Cricetulus griseus: one gene and its partners. The protein of the gene in region 1 purifies or fractionates together with the protein of each later gene. This does not show direct contact. Links are inferred from orthologs where the notes say so. Each region holds a gene or a part of one and is shown in the gene's direction. Other genes may lie near its edges.

What was found. Proteins that work in one complex are often made in the same cells at the same time.
Region 2: the proteins of Chuk (region 1) and Ripk1 purify together in Homo sapiens (affinity purification with western blotting; 3 studies listed by BioGRID, with this or other methods). This does not show direct contact. The link is inferred for Cricetulus griseus from reciprocal best matches to the Homo sapiens genes CHUK and RIPK1.
Region 3: the proteins of Chuk (region 1) and Akt1 purify together in Homo sapiens (affinity purification with western blotting; 5 studies listed by BioGRID). This does not show direct contact. The link is inferred for Cricetulus griseus from reciprocal best matches to the Homo sapiens genes CHUK and AKT1.
Region 4: the proteins of Chuk (region 1) and Pias1 purify together in Homo sapiens (affinity purification with western blotting; 3 studies listed by BioGRID). This does not show direct contact. The link is inferred for Cricetulus griseus from reciprocal best matches to the Homo sapiens genes CHUK and PIAS1.

What each region holds. Positions count from the first base shown.
Region 1 is NC_048596.1:17,462,087-17,465,801, forward strand, and holds part of Chuk (inhibitor of nuclear factor kappa-B kinase subunit alpha), read left to right. Parts: intron 1-1,005; coding exon 1,006-1,108; intron 1,109-1,760; coding exon 1,761-1,884; intron 1,885-2,557; coding exon 2,558-2,709; intron 2,710-3,715.
Region 2 is NC_048596.1:253,857,547-253,861,261, forward strand, and holds part of Ripk1 (receptor-interacting serine/threonine-protein kinase 1), read left to right. Parts: intron 1-910; coding exon 911-1,136; intron 1,137-3,391; coding exon 3,392-3,541; intron 3,542-3,715. UniProt on the Homo sapiens protein: Serine-threonine kinase which is a key regulator of TNF-mediated apoptosis, necroptosis and inflammatory pathways.
Region 3 is NC_048598.1:181,392,231-181,395,945, forward strand, and holds part of Akt1 (RAC-alpha serine/threonine-protein kinase), read left to right. Parts: intron 1-2,940; coding exon 2,941-3,069; intron 3,070-3,715. UniProt on the Homo sapiens protein: AKT1 is one of 3 closely related serine/threonine-protein kinases (AKT1, AKT2 and AKT3) called the AKT kinase, and which regulate many processes including metabolism, proliferation, cell survival, growth and angiogenesis.
Region 4 is NC_048597.1:174,449,088-174,452,802, reverse strand, and holds part of Pias1 (E3 SUMO-protein ligase PIAS1), read left to right. Parts: intron 1-2,865; coding exon 2,866-3,310; intron 3,311-3,715. UniProt on the Homo sapiens protein: Functions as an E3-type small ubiquitin-like modifier (SUMO) ligase, stabilizing the interaction between UBE2I and the substrate, and as a SUMO-tethering factor. Catalyzes sumoylation of various proteins, such as CEBPB, MRE11, MTA1, PTK2 and PML.

The sequences.
Region 1 (3,715 bases):
TATTGCTATTCCCCATGTCCATTATCTCTTACATTTCCATTCCACCCATCCTATTTATGTGCTTTCGGTCTCTGTAGATTTGCATGCATGTCTATGTATGGCTATGTGTTTGTATGAGTGCAGATGTTTATGAGGGTGTACATGTACATATGTGCCCATGGAAGCCAAAGGTCAACCTCAGTCGCCATTCCTCAATGACAGTCATCTCCTTTGTTTTGAGAAAGGCTCTCTCATTGGCCTGAAACTTATTGATTAGGCTAAGCTGCTGGAATCACAAAACCCAACTCTTATTAAATGTGGGTTATGGTGCTTATACTCGGGTCTCCATGCTTGTATAACAGGTGTTTTACTGATGAAATATTTCCCCAACACTAGCATTACGTTTTTGAATGTTATCAGTGTTATAGGGTGTTTCATTCCTGTTGGACCTTTTGAGAAAGAGTCTTGCTGTGTAGCCCAAGCTGACTCTCACCCTACCCTGTTTTGGAATTACTCTAGTACCTAGTCTTTTTCTTTTGTTTACTACTGAGTGTTTCATTCACCAGTATGACCTTTTGTATTTGTTCTTTTGGCTTTTAAGTACTGAGATTAGAAACTTACTTTGTTTTTCCTAGTTTTTTAAGTTAGCAGACAAAATGGTGGGTTTTGTTATGGCATTTTTATGCATGTATATTCACCATAGTTTTTCTTATTTCTACCTCTTCCATTTTGCCCTTCTTTGTTGGTCTTTCTCTCCCCAAACAGTCTTCCCTTTTGCTTCCTTGCTAACCAACCCCATTACCCTCTTCCCACACCTGCTCTGTTTGTTCCTTTGGGTCTGCTGATCACTTTTTACTTTGACTCCATATATCTTTTTACTAACCCTTTGCCCCACATCTATAAATTAGATGTGAATGCACAGTGACTTTGTTCAGTACATTTCAAAGAAGGAAATCTGGCACTTAAGTATTTGTAAAATCTAGAGTTTTCAAGAATCTTTGCATTTTAATTGTTTCTTTTTTTCAGAGAGGCTGTGATAGCTACATGGTTTATTTGTTTGATAAAAGTAAGACTGTGTATGAAGGACCATTTGCATCCAGAAGTTTGTCTGATTGTGTAAATTATATTGGTAAGTAGAGTCCAGTTAGTGGCTGAACTTTAATCTTGAAATTACATGATTAGTAAATATGATCTTTTTAGTGGTTTTGTTCAGTATCTCCTATTTGAGATTTCTATATGTGGCGAAAATGGATTTAATGTAGTTTGGAAGGTGTAAAGGTAGATTTTAAATTACCACTAGACTCTTCTCTTGGGAGGAGATTTCCCTTCCTGAGGATAGGGCTCCATAGATAGAAGAATGAAAGCCCACTGTGCACTGTGCCTGCTTTTTTTAATTGTTCCTTCGTTAGGTGTGTTCAGATATTTACACACAGCTTTGCCTGTAAATTTCATAAATCTGAGCTGGTGTTTAGAAACAGAAAAGACTGGTGGACTGTGGAGGAGAAGGAACTTGAACCAAAGCTTTTAGAAGTAAAGAATTTGGATTAGCAGAAAGAAAATGAATATTCTTGACTTCTTGACTGGAGAGAAGCAAATTTAAAAGAAAAACATACAGAAATAATGAAGTAGTTATGTTATTCAGACACACAACTCTCATATCTAGAGCCAGGCAGTAGATTCTTTTTAACATCTATGGGAATAGTTTTTGGAAAAGACGTCACAAAGAATGAACTATAGTGTCTGAAAGTGGCTTACCTCCCTTATTACCATTTTACTTATAGTTCAAGACAGCAAGATACAGCTTCCAATTGTACAGCTGCGTAAAGTATGGGCTGAAGCAGTGCACTATGTATCTGGACTAAAAGAAGATTACAGCAGGCTCTTTCAGGGACAAAGAGCGGCAATGTAAGTGGGTTCTGGTTGTTTTTTTAGCATAACACCACTTGTATCATGTACTCAAGAATTATTCTTGCCAGTTTTCCCTGAGAATTGTGTAGAAGGCTAAAATATTGAACATATTTTGAAGTGTACTGTTTTTAATAATGTGTTTATGAGCATGTGAATGGATGCACACGTGGAAGCCAGGGTTGATGTTGGCTATATTTCCCTTATTGTTTTCTCACCTAAGTTTGGAGGCAAGATCTCTTACTAACCCTGGAGCTTACTGTTTCAGCTAGACTGAATGGCCCATGGGCTCCTCTGTTTGCCTGTTTCCCCATGCCTCCAAGCACTCACTTGCCATGCACTAAGCTGAGGTCCTCGTGCATGCAAAGCAAGCACTTTGCCCACTGGGCCATCACTCTGACTCCATTGAGATGCAGTGTTCTGACCAGACTTAAGATTTCTTATTAATGGTCTGAAATCATTCAGCTGTAATGTCTTGAAAATTCTAGTTCCTGAGTGGCCTTAGCTGAAGAAGGTTGTTTATCACAGACCTCACAGTCTGGAAATAGGTCAGCTGTTTCTCAGGATTTGATAATAGAAACTTAGGTTTTGGAGTTTGGATACTGTATGTTTGCAAATTGTTATTCAATGTTTCTGAATGTTGATAATTTTGTTTTGTTTTGCTATGGCTTAGGTTAAGTCTTCTTAGATATAATGCTAACTTGACAAAAATGAAGAATACTTTGATCTCAGCATCACAGCAACTCAAAGCTAAATTGGAGTTTTTTCACAAAAGCATTCAGCTTGACTTGGAGAGATATAGTGAGCAGATGACTTACGGGATATGTAAGTGTCTGGCTATAATGTATTTGTAAGGAATGTCTAGTCTTTTGAAACCATCTGCTCTCTTATCTTGTTGACACATAGCCAGTAATTTAAATTCACAGCAGACCAACATACAGAAAAACTTGTCAAATGTTTTTGTTTTGAGGGTTAGCTCTTTTAATCCCTTAGTTAAGCAACTTATTTCATAATTATTGTAAAAGTATGTAACTCTAGAAAAGCTAAATAATACAGAAGTGACCTTAAGACTGAATTTCAAGTCTTATTTTAAAATGTATAGAGTCTATATTGAGGTGACTTCCTAGCCAATACTGTGTACTGAAATGTGTGCTTCCCCTAGTTGGTATGCTGAAATCCTGATCCTTTTGATAATGGTAAGACCCTTGGGAAAGGATTAAGTCATGATGGGACCTTACTAGAGGCCTGAGTCACATTCCCTCACCCTTTCTGTCATAAGGGGACACAGAAGGCAGTGTGAACCACTGCCTATGAACCAGAACTTGATCTTGGCTTTCTCAGATTTCAAAATTTGCCACCTAGGGTATTTTTGTTTTGTTTTGTTTTGTTTTGCTTTGTTTTCTGATTTTGTTCTTGTAGTGTAGCAGCTCAAGTGGAATAACACAGCCAGGGGAGTCTTAAATTATTTGTTTTGTTTGTTTTTTTGTTTTCCCTTAATCCATCTGCTGTGGAGTTCTACCTACTGTTTTCTTATTATACACAGTGTCCTGACTCCAACCTTATCCCCTTTTGGATGTGTTAAGGATTTGTAAAGAGTTAAAATCCAAATAAACGGAATTGTTTACTTCATGACACATATCTTTTAGAAGAAGTAGATACTGTTTATTATGTACTTGACAAAAGTTTGGATATCTCAGAATAAGTGACCAGAAGTGTCCAGTTAGTGAATATATTTATTCTCTAGTGTTATTTCTGTGTTTACATATTATAGGCATAATTATTTCATTAGAGCATCTTTGACTTGTCAGAGGCATACTGTACAGCCATTAAC
Region 2 (3,715 bases), about 240 Mb from region 1:
CCCTTGGATTCTTCCAAAACTGTCCTGCTCTGCCATTTCTCCCTGCCGCTCTCTTCTCTGTGTCTGACTTTGTTATCTTTCTCTGCCTTTATATGTTTTTCGATTTCTTTCTCTCCATCCTGTTTTCTCTTAGGTTCAGGCTGCCAACTCAAAACAAGTAGCAGCAACGGTCTCACCCTCAGGGTGGCTTTGGGATGCTTGGAAGCACAGCCATGATCCTCTGGATGCTATTGGGCAAATAGAAGGTGCTAACACAGCCATGATCCTCTGGATGCTATTAGGCAAATAGAAGGTGTTAACAGCTGTGGTCCTCTGGATGCTACTGAGCACATAGAAGGTGTTAACACAGCCATGGTCCTCTGGATGCTACTTGGCATATAGAAGGTGTGGTAACCAGTCTCCATCTTCCCCAGAAAAAAAACAAAAAAAAAATGCAAAATAAATGAGAAGTTAGCACAAACATGGTTTCATTGTCTTGTCCCCAGTCTTCTTATTAATTAAGAATTAGATGTGAAGGGCCCAGCAAGGTGGATCAGCTAATAAAGGTACTTTCTGCCAGCCAAGCCTGAAAACCTGAGTTTAAAGCCTAGTAAATAAAGAGAAAGGACTTCTGCAAAATTGTCCTCTGACTTTTATACATACATCTTGGCTTGTGTGCCCCCCATAAATAAATAAATAAATGTTTAAAAATAAACTTTGGGAATTGAGATGCCAGAACTTTACATGAACATTCTGAGTCTTTATGAGTCTATTGAGAAGTAACTATTCTAGATAGCTCAGTGTAACCATTAGAAAATTGACTGTTCCATACATGTACTGGATAGTCCCCAGATTTTATTTCATAAAGATCAAGCTTAATTTACTTGTAACCTTCATGCAGTAAATTCTGTTGGCCCCACCTCTTTTGCAGATAGCTGATCTTGGTGTGGCTTCCTTTAAGACATGGAGTATACTGACTAAAGAGAAACACAACAAGCAGAAGGAAGTGAACAGCATCTCTAAGAATGGAGGCACCCTCTACTACATGGCGCCTGAACACCTGAGTGACATCAATGCAAAGCCCACAGAGAAGTCAGATGTGTACAGTTTTGGCATTGTACTTTGGGCAATATTTGCAAATAAGGAGCCCTACGAGAGTAAGACAATTTTAGATGTGGGATTTTGATAGAAATCAAAATGTTACATGAGGGTTGGTGAGATGGCTCAGCATGTAAAAGCATTTACCACCAACCCTGACAACCTGAATTCAATCCAAACTCCAGGACTTACATGGAGAAGGAGAGAAGTGACTTCCAAAAATTTGTCTTCTGTCTTCCATATATGCACTGTGGCACCCAGATATATCTCCTCTCTCTTTCTTCCCCTCTCTCCTCCTCTCCCTGACTTCCTGCCTCGCCCCCCCCACACACACACACTAATTTTTTAAATGTAATAATTTTTTAAAACTTTTACATAAAATAGTGGCCTTCAGTGAATTCTGTTAAAAATCCATGATTATTTCTTAAAGGCTGGCTCTGCATCTGATTTATTCACTGCTAGTATCTTTAGCACGCACGCGCGCACACACACACACACACACACACACACACTCACACACACACACACGCACGCACGCACGCACGCGCACACACACACACACACACACACACACACACACACACACACACACACACACACACACACAATGCCTGGATGTAATCAGGAGACTCTTGTTTAATTAGTCATCCCAGTTTAGGATAAACTCATCAGGTGGATTGACCCTTTTATCTTTACAGCTTGGGAGTTGCTGTAAAACTCCAGGATTGCTCCTGGAGTAGGGATGGCCTTTCATACTACTAGGCATGTATCCCGTACTTGATTCTATTTGTGAATGAACCTTTTTCGTTACCTACTGTGAACACTCCAGTCAGTTGAGAATATAAAGGTGAATAAGTCTTTGTGAAGAGGCACAGTCATCCTTGGGTTTGGTTAAGCATGGAAAGGAGTGGCTCCTTTCTATAAACAAAGATTATCAACACCAGTAGATTAGGGATCATCAGCTCTGCTGATGCCTCTTAAATCTTAGTCTCTGACCATGACCAAGACATCCACTAGCCTATTAGACCCAACACATATACCTCAGGAACCTCCAAAGCGGCACCCCAACAAGCTCCCAAGTTTACCACCACTCTTCCATAGCTCCCTGTGCTCACCACCCGTACTGAGTTGCACAATAAGCAGCTTCACCTGAGACTCAACATTGTCTCCCTCTCCCACATCCAATAAAACCTCAAAACCTGAATTCAGCAACTAGGGATAGAACTCGGTGTTACAGCACTTGTCTAGCATCTTGTAGAGGCCTGGTTCAAGCCCTAGCACTGCCTGAAAAACAAACAAACATGAATTCTGTGAACATCTCTCCACTAGCTTCCTTATTTCTGCTGCAGGATCCTTGAGCCTTCCACAATCAGAAAGCAGCCAAGATAGTCATCTTAAAAGGCAGACGGGACAGGGTGAAGAGCTGGTTCTATGGTTAAGAGGCTGTTCACAGCTGTCTGTAATTCCAGTCCCAGGGTATCTGACATCCTTTTCTGGCTCTATGGGCATTGGATACATGTGATGCACAGACATAGTGCAGGCAAAACACCCATACACATAAAATAAAAATCAAGGAAATAAAAAGTTTTTAAGGCAGAGAGGATCATCTTGGCTATTTAAAATCCTTGAAAGACTCCCATAGCCTTCAAGTTTCCCAGTGTAAAGTATGAGGCCATTTCTGGTTCCACCCTGGCTTCTCTCCACCCTCCTCTCTGTCTTTGCCTCACGTCAGTGTGCCCACTTACACTGGGCACAGGTCACTGGTGCATATGATTTCTGTCATTCCCACCCTATCAGTTTCCTGCTGCCCTAGCTTGGAGTCTCCCTCAGGAGTCCTCCTTCCTGGTCCTTTACCTTGATAACACCTCCTTTTCTGACTCAGGAAAATCTTCTCAGACATTCTGTTCTCCACCATATTTGCTACTTGAGTGTCAGTTGTCAGTGTGTATTTTAAGTCACTCTCATTAAATTGAGCTTCTTAAAGCCCAGACCATCCTGGTTTTGCCTCTGTATTGAACTCTGGGGAATGCCCTGACTTTACCCATGGATTTTGTTTGTTGTGAAAAAGTAGCTTGGTTTTGAATTTTGTCTCTCATCTGCAAAAGTCAAAACCTCATTCTGTCATCTCTACAATAGACTCTGATAACTCCTTGTCACAGGCTATTGCTCTATGGAGTGAGATGAGACAGCCATGGGAAAAGCATATACTAGGTAGAGACAAAATAGCGGTAGGTATTGTTCATGTCCTGTCATCTTCCTTCCTGAGAGTAGAGTAGGACCGAGAACCCCAACTGAAGCTTATCCCTCTTTGCAGACGCCATCTGTGCTGAGCAGCTCTTGATTTGCATAAACTCTGGGAACAGGCCAAATGTGGAGGACATCATTGAGCACTGCCCAAGAGAGATCATCAGCCTCATGGAGCGGTGTTGGCAAGCAGCCCCAGAGGACCGGCCAACATTCCCTGGTAAGAGCAGGTTGTGTGCCTTTCAGGATGCATCCCATATGGTGACACTTCAGTAAAGTGAGACTGGTAGTTTAGTTACTTTTCCTATAGCTGTGACAAAATACAGGACAAAAGCAGCTTGAGGGATGGGCTCCACCCATTGGTCCAGATCTCGTCAGTGGCTTGGCTTTTCCA
Region 3 (3,715 bases), on another chromosome or scaffold:
GATTTGCATATGTGCTTAGTGGGGAGCTAGGCCTACTGTAATGCAGGGCTTAGCCCTGGGTGTCTGCTGTTGGCTGGTTTTGTTGTTCAACGAGAAGCTGTTGTCAGGCATCTGGCCTCAAGAACCATGGGGACCACACTGTGGAGGTGGCACCTGGTTATTTGTCATCTGTTCATGTCTGTGTGAACACGGGCCTGGTGAGGAAACTCCAGGTGGAGCACAGCACCTCTAGTGGGCCGTGAGTACTTGTGTTCCCAGAGGCTGTGTGGACAGGTGGAAGGCCCCAGCTGCTGCTGCGCTTCACCAGCTGGACTCCGCCTTACCTGTTTTCAGGGTACCAGGCATCCAGATGGGGTGAGGGAGTAGAGAAGAGCCTGGATGGGCCAGAGCCTAGCACTTCTGCAGGGGCTCAGTATCAGTCCCTCCTTGTTGGAGTGTGAAAAGCTGGAGGGAGGCCCCAGAAGGGGGCAGGGGTATTCCTAGATACCACGTGGCCATGAAGGACCAGTGTAGCCACCTCTTGTATTTGTCTGTCATGTGTTGGCACAGTTCTTTTGGAGGGGTGGGGCTTGGGGTCTGTCTGGACTGAACTCATTAACATGCAGGCCACATCCTAGGCTGCAGCTGGCTTAGCTGGTACCCCCAGTGACCATTTGGCTAGACCTTGAGGCCGGAGATGAAGAAAGAGATCTGTGTGTCAGAACTGTGGCTCCCTTTCCTCTGGAAGAGGCCGCCACCGGGAAAGACCTGATGAGGTCACTTCACTTTACATTTCTCCTTGGCCAGGAGGCCTCTGTGAGGCCAGGGAGGGGAAGGGCACCTAGGCCCTTCTGGGTACTTGGCTTTCTCTGCCTGGTGAGTGTCCCTGCCTGTACCTCCAGGTCCACATTCTGGAATCTGCCTGGCCTAGGGGCTGGTCATGCAGGCTAAGAGCCAGTTGTAGATAGGGTGGTGGTCTTGTCTGGGGGCCTGCACTGGGCACAGTGGGGTGGGCAGCAGTTGGTAAATCAAGATGGATTTCTGGGGTGCGAGTGTGTTGCTCATCAGCCTCCGTACTCAGTTAGTGTCCCGGGGAGCAGCAGCTGGTGAGATGGAGGCACTCCATCAGGGGCCGACAGCTCCAGACTGGTGCTGGCGGGTGGGCGTGCACAGCGGGGGCCTAGGGAGGAACGGGGTGGGGGGGCTGCTCACCCCCCATTGGCTCTGCTATATTACCCAGGGCCCCTGCCTGCCCACTGAGCCTTCGAGGCCCTATGCCAGGGGAGGGGCTGTCATGGGGCCACTGGCCATGTGAATACTGCAGGTGTGTGCCACCTGGTCAGAAGCCAGGCTGGTGCCTGCAGGGGTTCAGGGGTCTTCGAAAACCTGGATGGGAACCCTGTTCTGTGTTTTTGTTGTGTAGGCAGGTTGCTGAGCCTTAGGCCCTCCTGAGTGAGGGAGGGTTGGCATTGGTCATTGCTTTGAAGCCCCCAGTGGCTGTGGGAAGTGGCCGGCTGGGGAGCTGAGCTTCTGGGAACTAAAGATGGGAGGCAGGAATGGGTTTCCAGGTGTCCTAGTTCCAGCTACTTACGGACTGTAGGCCTTTGGAGAGAAGCAGAATAATCTAGCCTAGGCCCTGGAGGACCACCAGGCACATTTGGGCACATGCAATGGAGTCGGGAGGAGCTCGAGCTTGCTCTCTTTGCTGCCCCTCTCCATTGTGAGGCTGGGGTCTTTGTCAGTGCTGATGGCAGGCTTAGGAGATCTGCAGTGACGAGGGGACAGGATCCCTAGCTCTAATAGCTACCAGCTCCCTGGAGTGTGTGTGGGGTGTTGGCCTGGTAGTGGCTCTATCACTTCTTCTCTCACCAAGAGCCTTTGTCCGTCACTTAGGCTTTCTCTTATCCTGATTCATGCAGGGCTGTGTAGGGTCATGCAGAGCAAGGCTGGTGTCGGAAATGCCTCCAGGGTGTCAATTGAAAGGGACTAGACGGTGGAGTCGGGGGAGGTAGGTCATGTGAGGAGTCTGGCAATATACTGCCCAGAGCCCCTACTTCGTGTACCCTGGAAGGCCCTGAGAGTCTGAGCTGGTGAACTATACTGGGTAGACTGTATCTCACCTGCACGTGTTCTCAGAGAACACCTGGATTTAGTACATACCATGAGAGGGTAGAGAAGGAAAGCTAGCTAGCCTCCCTGGGGCTGTGGAAAATGCGTTAGGTGCACTGCCTGGTGCCTGAGACCAGGGTGTTTGTCCTTGTGACTTGGTCTGCATCCTGGAGCACCTGGTGGCAGGTGGCCTGGTCCAAACAGTTGCTCCCTGCATACCCCTCTAGGTGCTCTTGCTCAGGACTCAGTGGGACAAGCAAAGTTCATCTCAGATAGAGCTCAGGGACCCCAGCCCTGTGGGCTGCCCCTCCTGTCCTCAGTCTAGTGTCCCCTCAGATGAAGAAGTTGCCTAATTAGTTAGCTCCCTGTTGTTCAGACTCCTTGCTCGGCAAAATGTAAATGAAACATTTTTTCCGGGTGTCAGTATGAAAAATGACAGTCGCTGGGAGATCACAGAGGACATCTGCTCTGATGTCTGAGTGTGGTGCCTGCTTCTGGCTGATGCTGCAAAACTGGAGGAGGGAACAATGTTCCTGTGTACCTGGGTGACCAGGGCAGGACTCAGCTGGACACAGCACAGGTCTCAGCTAGGACACACACGTGCGCACGCGCGCACACACACACACGCGCACACTCGTTCCAGCCATGGCACCTCTTGACTCTGCTGCACAGGCAGAGCCCTGGAAGATGCTCCCAGCAACATGCACTGGAGCTCTGCCCCAGTGCCAGTGCCTTCTGGGAAGGAAGTGGCCCAGATCCCTTCCCTACCTCTATGTGCCTAGGTCCTCTCAGGTGTCAGGGCCACTGCAGTGTTGTTCACATGCAGCTCCTTATGCCCCCCCCCCCCCGCAGGGGAATACATTAAAACCTGGCGGCCACGCTACTTCCTCCTCAAGAATGACGGCACCTTTATTGGCTACAAGGAACGGCCTCAGGACGTGGAGCATCGAGAGTCCCCCCTCAACAACTTCTCAGTGGCACGTAAGTGTCTCGGCCATTTGGGTTGAGTGAGATGGCTAGGCAGGCCAGCAGGTTTTGTCCTGGGGTGCTGGGCAGTGCTAGCTTTGAGTCACCTCCTCTAGAGCTGGCCAGTGGCCAGCTCTGGCTGGGCCAGGGAGCCCTTGCTGTAAGGCTGAAGGTTCCAGCATGTGGTGACTGGACCTGGTTTAGAGGGTGGGTTGACCAGGGTCCCTTTAATGGGGACTAAACAGGCACTCAAGGACATTCACTGGGAACTCTTGGGTAGACTGAGAAGAAGGTTCCCAGTTCTAGGAGCCTAAGACATCCTGGGAACCATTTCTGTATTGTTTCCTGGGAAGACCATTGGTAGTCCTTTGCCCTGGGTCTTGTGATCGCCTTAGCTGGAGTGCCAGGATTGGTGAGGGTTATAAAGTTGAGGATATTGTGAAACTATCTTTGAGAGCGTGGAGCTTGAGAATCTATGTCCTTGTTCTCTGTGTCACATTGTGACAGCCCAGTTCTGCCTGGGACTGGTCAAAGGCTCAGCTGGTTTTGTAGGTGTGGTTGAGTTTGACAGTGATAAGTAGCAGCATGCCTAGCCATGAGGGTTACCAATAACAGACTGTGGGGCTGTCCTCGGACTGCAGTCTGGAGTGTGGTGTGCACA
Region 4 (3,715 bases), on another chromosome or scaffold:
GTAACAATGATAAATCCTCCCCCCCCCTCTCAAACTAGAAACCTTGACTCATTAATAACAGCTGTCTTTTGAGTGCATTCTATTTAAGTATTCTTTTTAACGGTTGCTATTGTTTGCTTTGTCTTTTTTGAGGCAGTCAAAATGTAATTGACAGCTGTCAAGTTTATTTTGTCATTTAACCTTTTCTTTGATCCTTCACACAAGGGACTTTATTTTATATAAATTGTCAGTGTGTGTTTCATAGAAATGCAACAATAATACATCTGTGCTACATTTAATCTTGTTCTCACAACTGATGACAAAGGTTACCATCACTGAAATTTGTCGTAATTACTGAATTGCTGTTTTTGTTTGCATCTTAGAGAATGGAGTTGAATTAAAAGGAAAGATATTTATCTTTAAAATTTAATGCTGCCCCTCCCCGCCTTTAGAACAAACACATTTGCCTATGTGACTGCTAGTGTTAATTGACAAGAGTCTAGAATCACCTGGGAGATGGGCCTCTGGACATGCCTGTGGAGAGCATCTTGATTTTTTTTTTTTAAATTGATGTGGGAAGACCTGCCCTCTGTGGGCAACAACATTTCCTGGCTGTTAATGCCAGTTGTGGGTCCTGGATTTTATAAATGGAGAAAGGGAACTGATGCATTCATTACTCTCTTTTTTCAATTATGAATGTGATGTGGCCAGCTTCTTTAAGCTCCTGACATCTTCCCCACCATAATGGATTTTACCCTTGAATTCTGAGCCAGTATAGACCCTTTCCCTTAAGTTGCTTTTGTCAGAGCATTTTTAAAACAAGAACAGGAAAAGAAACTAAGACAGTGTGATGATTGAATGAGACTGTTCCCCATAGGCTGAGATGTTTGAATACTTGGTTCCCAGTTGGCTGCATTGCTTGGCTAGGTTTAGGAAGTGTGCTTGCTAGAGGAAGCATGTCACCGGAAGTGGGTTTTGAGAGTTTAAAGCCCCATTCCATTTTGGTTTTTCTCTCTCTGCTTCCTGCTTACATTTTGAGATGTGAGCTCTCATATGTTCCTGCTGTCTGCAGTCAGAATTCCCTGCCATGATGGATGGAATCTTATCCCTCTGAACTATAAGCCTAAATAAACCCTTCCTTCTGTAAGTTGTCTTGGTCATGGTGTTTTATCACAGCAGTAGAAAAGACCAGCCAATTCCAATTTGTTTTTAATTACTAATCCTTTATGTTTGGTCTTATTTCATTAAAAACAGAAGATTATTATGAAATAATATGATCTGTGTTACACCTTTGTATGCCTCTGTACAGGACAATAATTTGGGCATTGATTTGAATGATTTATCTCTTCGTACTCCACCTCCAGTCCTTCTGGCATACTTTTCTTGTTCATTCCTTCACTGTCCACATAGTTGATAACAAACTCTGGTTCTAGATGCTGAAGATAAAATGGTCATGTGCTCCAGAAAACCTCTGTCTAGAGTGGTCATCAGCCCTGGAGCACCTCAGTCTAGGCAAGGAATCACTGTATGGATAGAAATGACAATGCAGCAGGATAAGTGTGAAAAATAAATAGCCAAGAAAAGGCTGATAGAGATAGATAGTAAAACAGTTCCAATCTTCTGGAACAGACTGGTGAAGCTGGACCTGAAGGTAGGAAACAGTAGAGCAACTGACAGCTTTGACTAGCCAGCTATATTGCATCAGAGTGCTTCATTCATTGGTCATTTTGGGGGGTTGTTCTGCTACCTGAAAGGACTCTCTAGTGCAGCAGTCCACTGGGTGGTCCAATGAACTTTTCACAGGGGTCACCTAAGACCGTCAGAAAACACAGATATTTACATCATGTTTCATGACATTAGCAAAATTACAGTTATGAAGTAGCAAAGAAAATTTATGATTGTGGTTACCACAACATGAGGAACTGTACTAAAGGGTTGAGAACCACTGTTCTAATGGGTTTGTTGAGAAAGGGTATTTATAGCCCTACAGGAAGGTAGAGAGGCAGTGCAGCTACTGTGTGTATTTGGTATGAGGCCAGAGAATCCAGAAGTTTAGGAAATGGAGGATTTAATGAATGGGAAGCTTGCAGGTGTGTGTTCATTCTGACATTCCTGTCAGAGACAGGGCTTCTTCCATAAGTAGTAGTGTGGTCAGAGTCAGTCCTTCCTCTTTGGTTCCCTTTCTGTTGCTTTAAAATGGAAGGTTCTGATTAGATTTCCATTTCCTGTTGTTCTTAGAAGGGGCAGGGTGGAGGGGTAGAAACAGTGATGAAATAAATTGTGAACCCAGGATTAATGAAGGTAAGTAGATTTCTGTCTTTTAGCTTCATGTATTGCAGTGTAAAGGTGGAATTCTTGATGTCTAAGTGGGAATCAAGAGCTTTAGCATCTGATAGAACTGCTAGCTAGCTATATAACAGCAAAGACATAAGAGATAGTCCTCAGGAAAATAGTGATTGTTCCTTGAATTCCAGAGTTAGTATAAGACTAGTACTTGATAATGTGTCTAGGGTTTGAGGTGGGATGTTTGGTTTCAGTGTACTTAAAGTTTTTTCCCTAAGAAGATAGGAATGCTCTTGAGGGCACATTACTACTCTTCCATCCCAAGTCTGTGCTTCTGGAGAATTTGTAAGTGCTTGCTAATGTCACTAAATGGTAGGATAAAGTGAGATGTGGTCCTGCATAGTGTAAACTTGATCCTGTGTCTTTTATAATATGCATATTACTTTTAAAGTTTCTTTATTAATTGGTTAATCTTGACTTGGGATAGTAATGAGTTAAATAAGCTGGCATTTAAGCAAATCATATGAAAAGGCTAAATAAAAATTAGAATTGTAAATTATGGTTTCAGACACTAATATTTTACATTTTACTTTTTTCTCTAAGCAAATGGTTATGAGCCTTAGAGTTTCTGAACTCCAAGTTCTGTTGGGCTACGCTGGGAGGAACAAGCACGGACGCAAACACGAACTTCTTACAAAAGCCCTTCATTTGTTAAAGGCTGGCTGTAGTCCTGCAGTACAAATGAAAATTAAAGAACTCTACAGGCGGCGGTTCCCTCAGAAAATTATGACACCTGCGGACTTGTCTATCCCCAACGTACATTCAAGTCCTATGCCAGCGACTCTGTCTCCATCTACCATTCCACAGCTCACCTATGATGGTCACCCTGCATCATCCCCTCTACTCCCTGTTTCTCTTCTGGGACCTAAACATGAACTGGAACTCCCACATCTCACATCAGCGCTGCACCCAGTCCATCCGGATATAAAGCTACAAAAGCTACCATTCTATGACCTGTTGGATGAGCTGATCAAACCCACCAGTCTAGGTAAGATAGGAGGCAATTTGGTTACTACTTCGGTTATCATTCCTTTTTTAGACGTTCAGTCTGACCCAGTCTTATTCTTAATGAAGTTCGTGTTTGGTAGTATCATCAGGATGTGCTGAGTTTAGACTAAATCAAATATATAAATGTTGTCCTTTAGGCAAAAGTGGCCAGCAGTTTCAGATACAATAAATACTAAGTTTGAAACCAGGTTTCACCATATAAACCCTGGCTGTCCTGTATCTTGCTATGTAGACCAGGCTGGCCTTGAACTCAGAGATCCTCCTGCCTCTGCCTCCAGAGCCATTGGATTAAAGCTATATTCCACTGTGCCTGGCTTCTAATTAATGTACAGTAACCCTTAAAAATCAAAATGGAAAACAAATTACCACCAGTCTGTAAATTCTG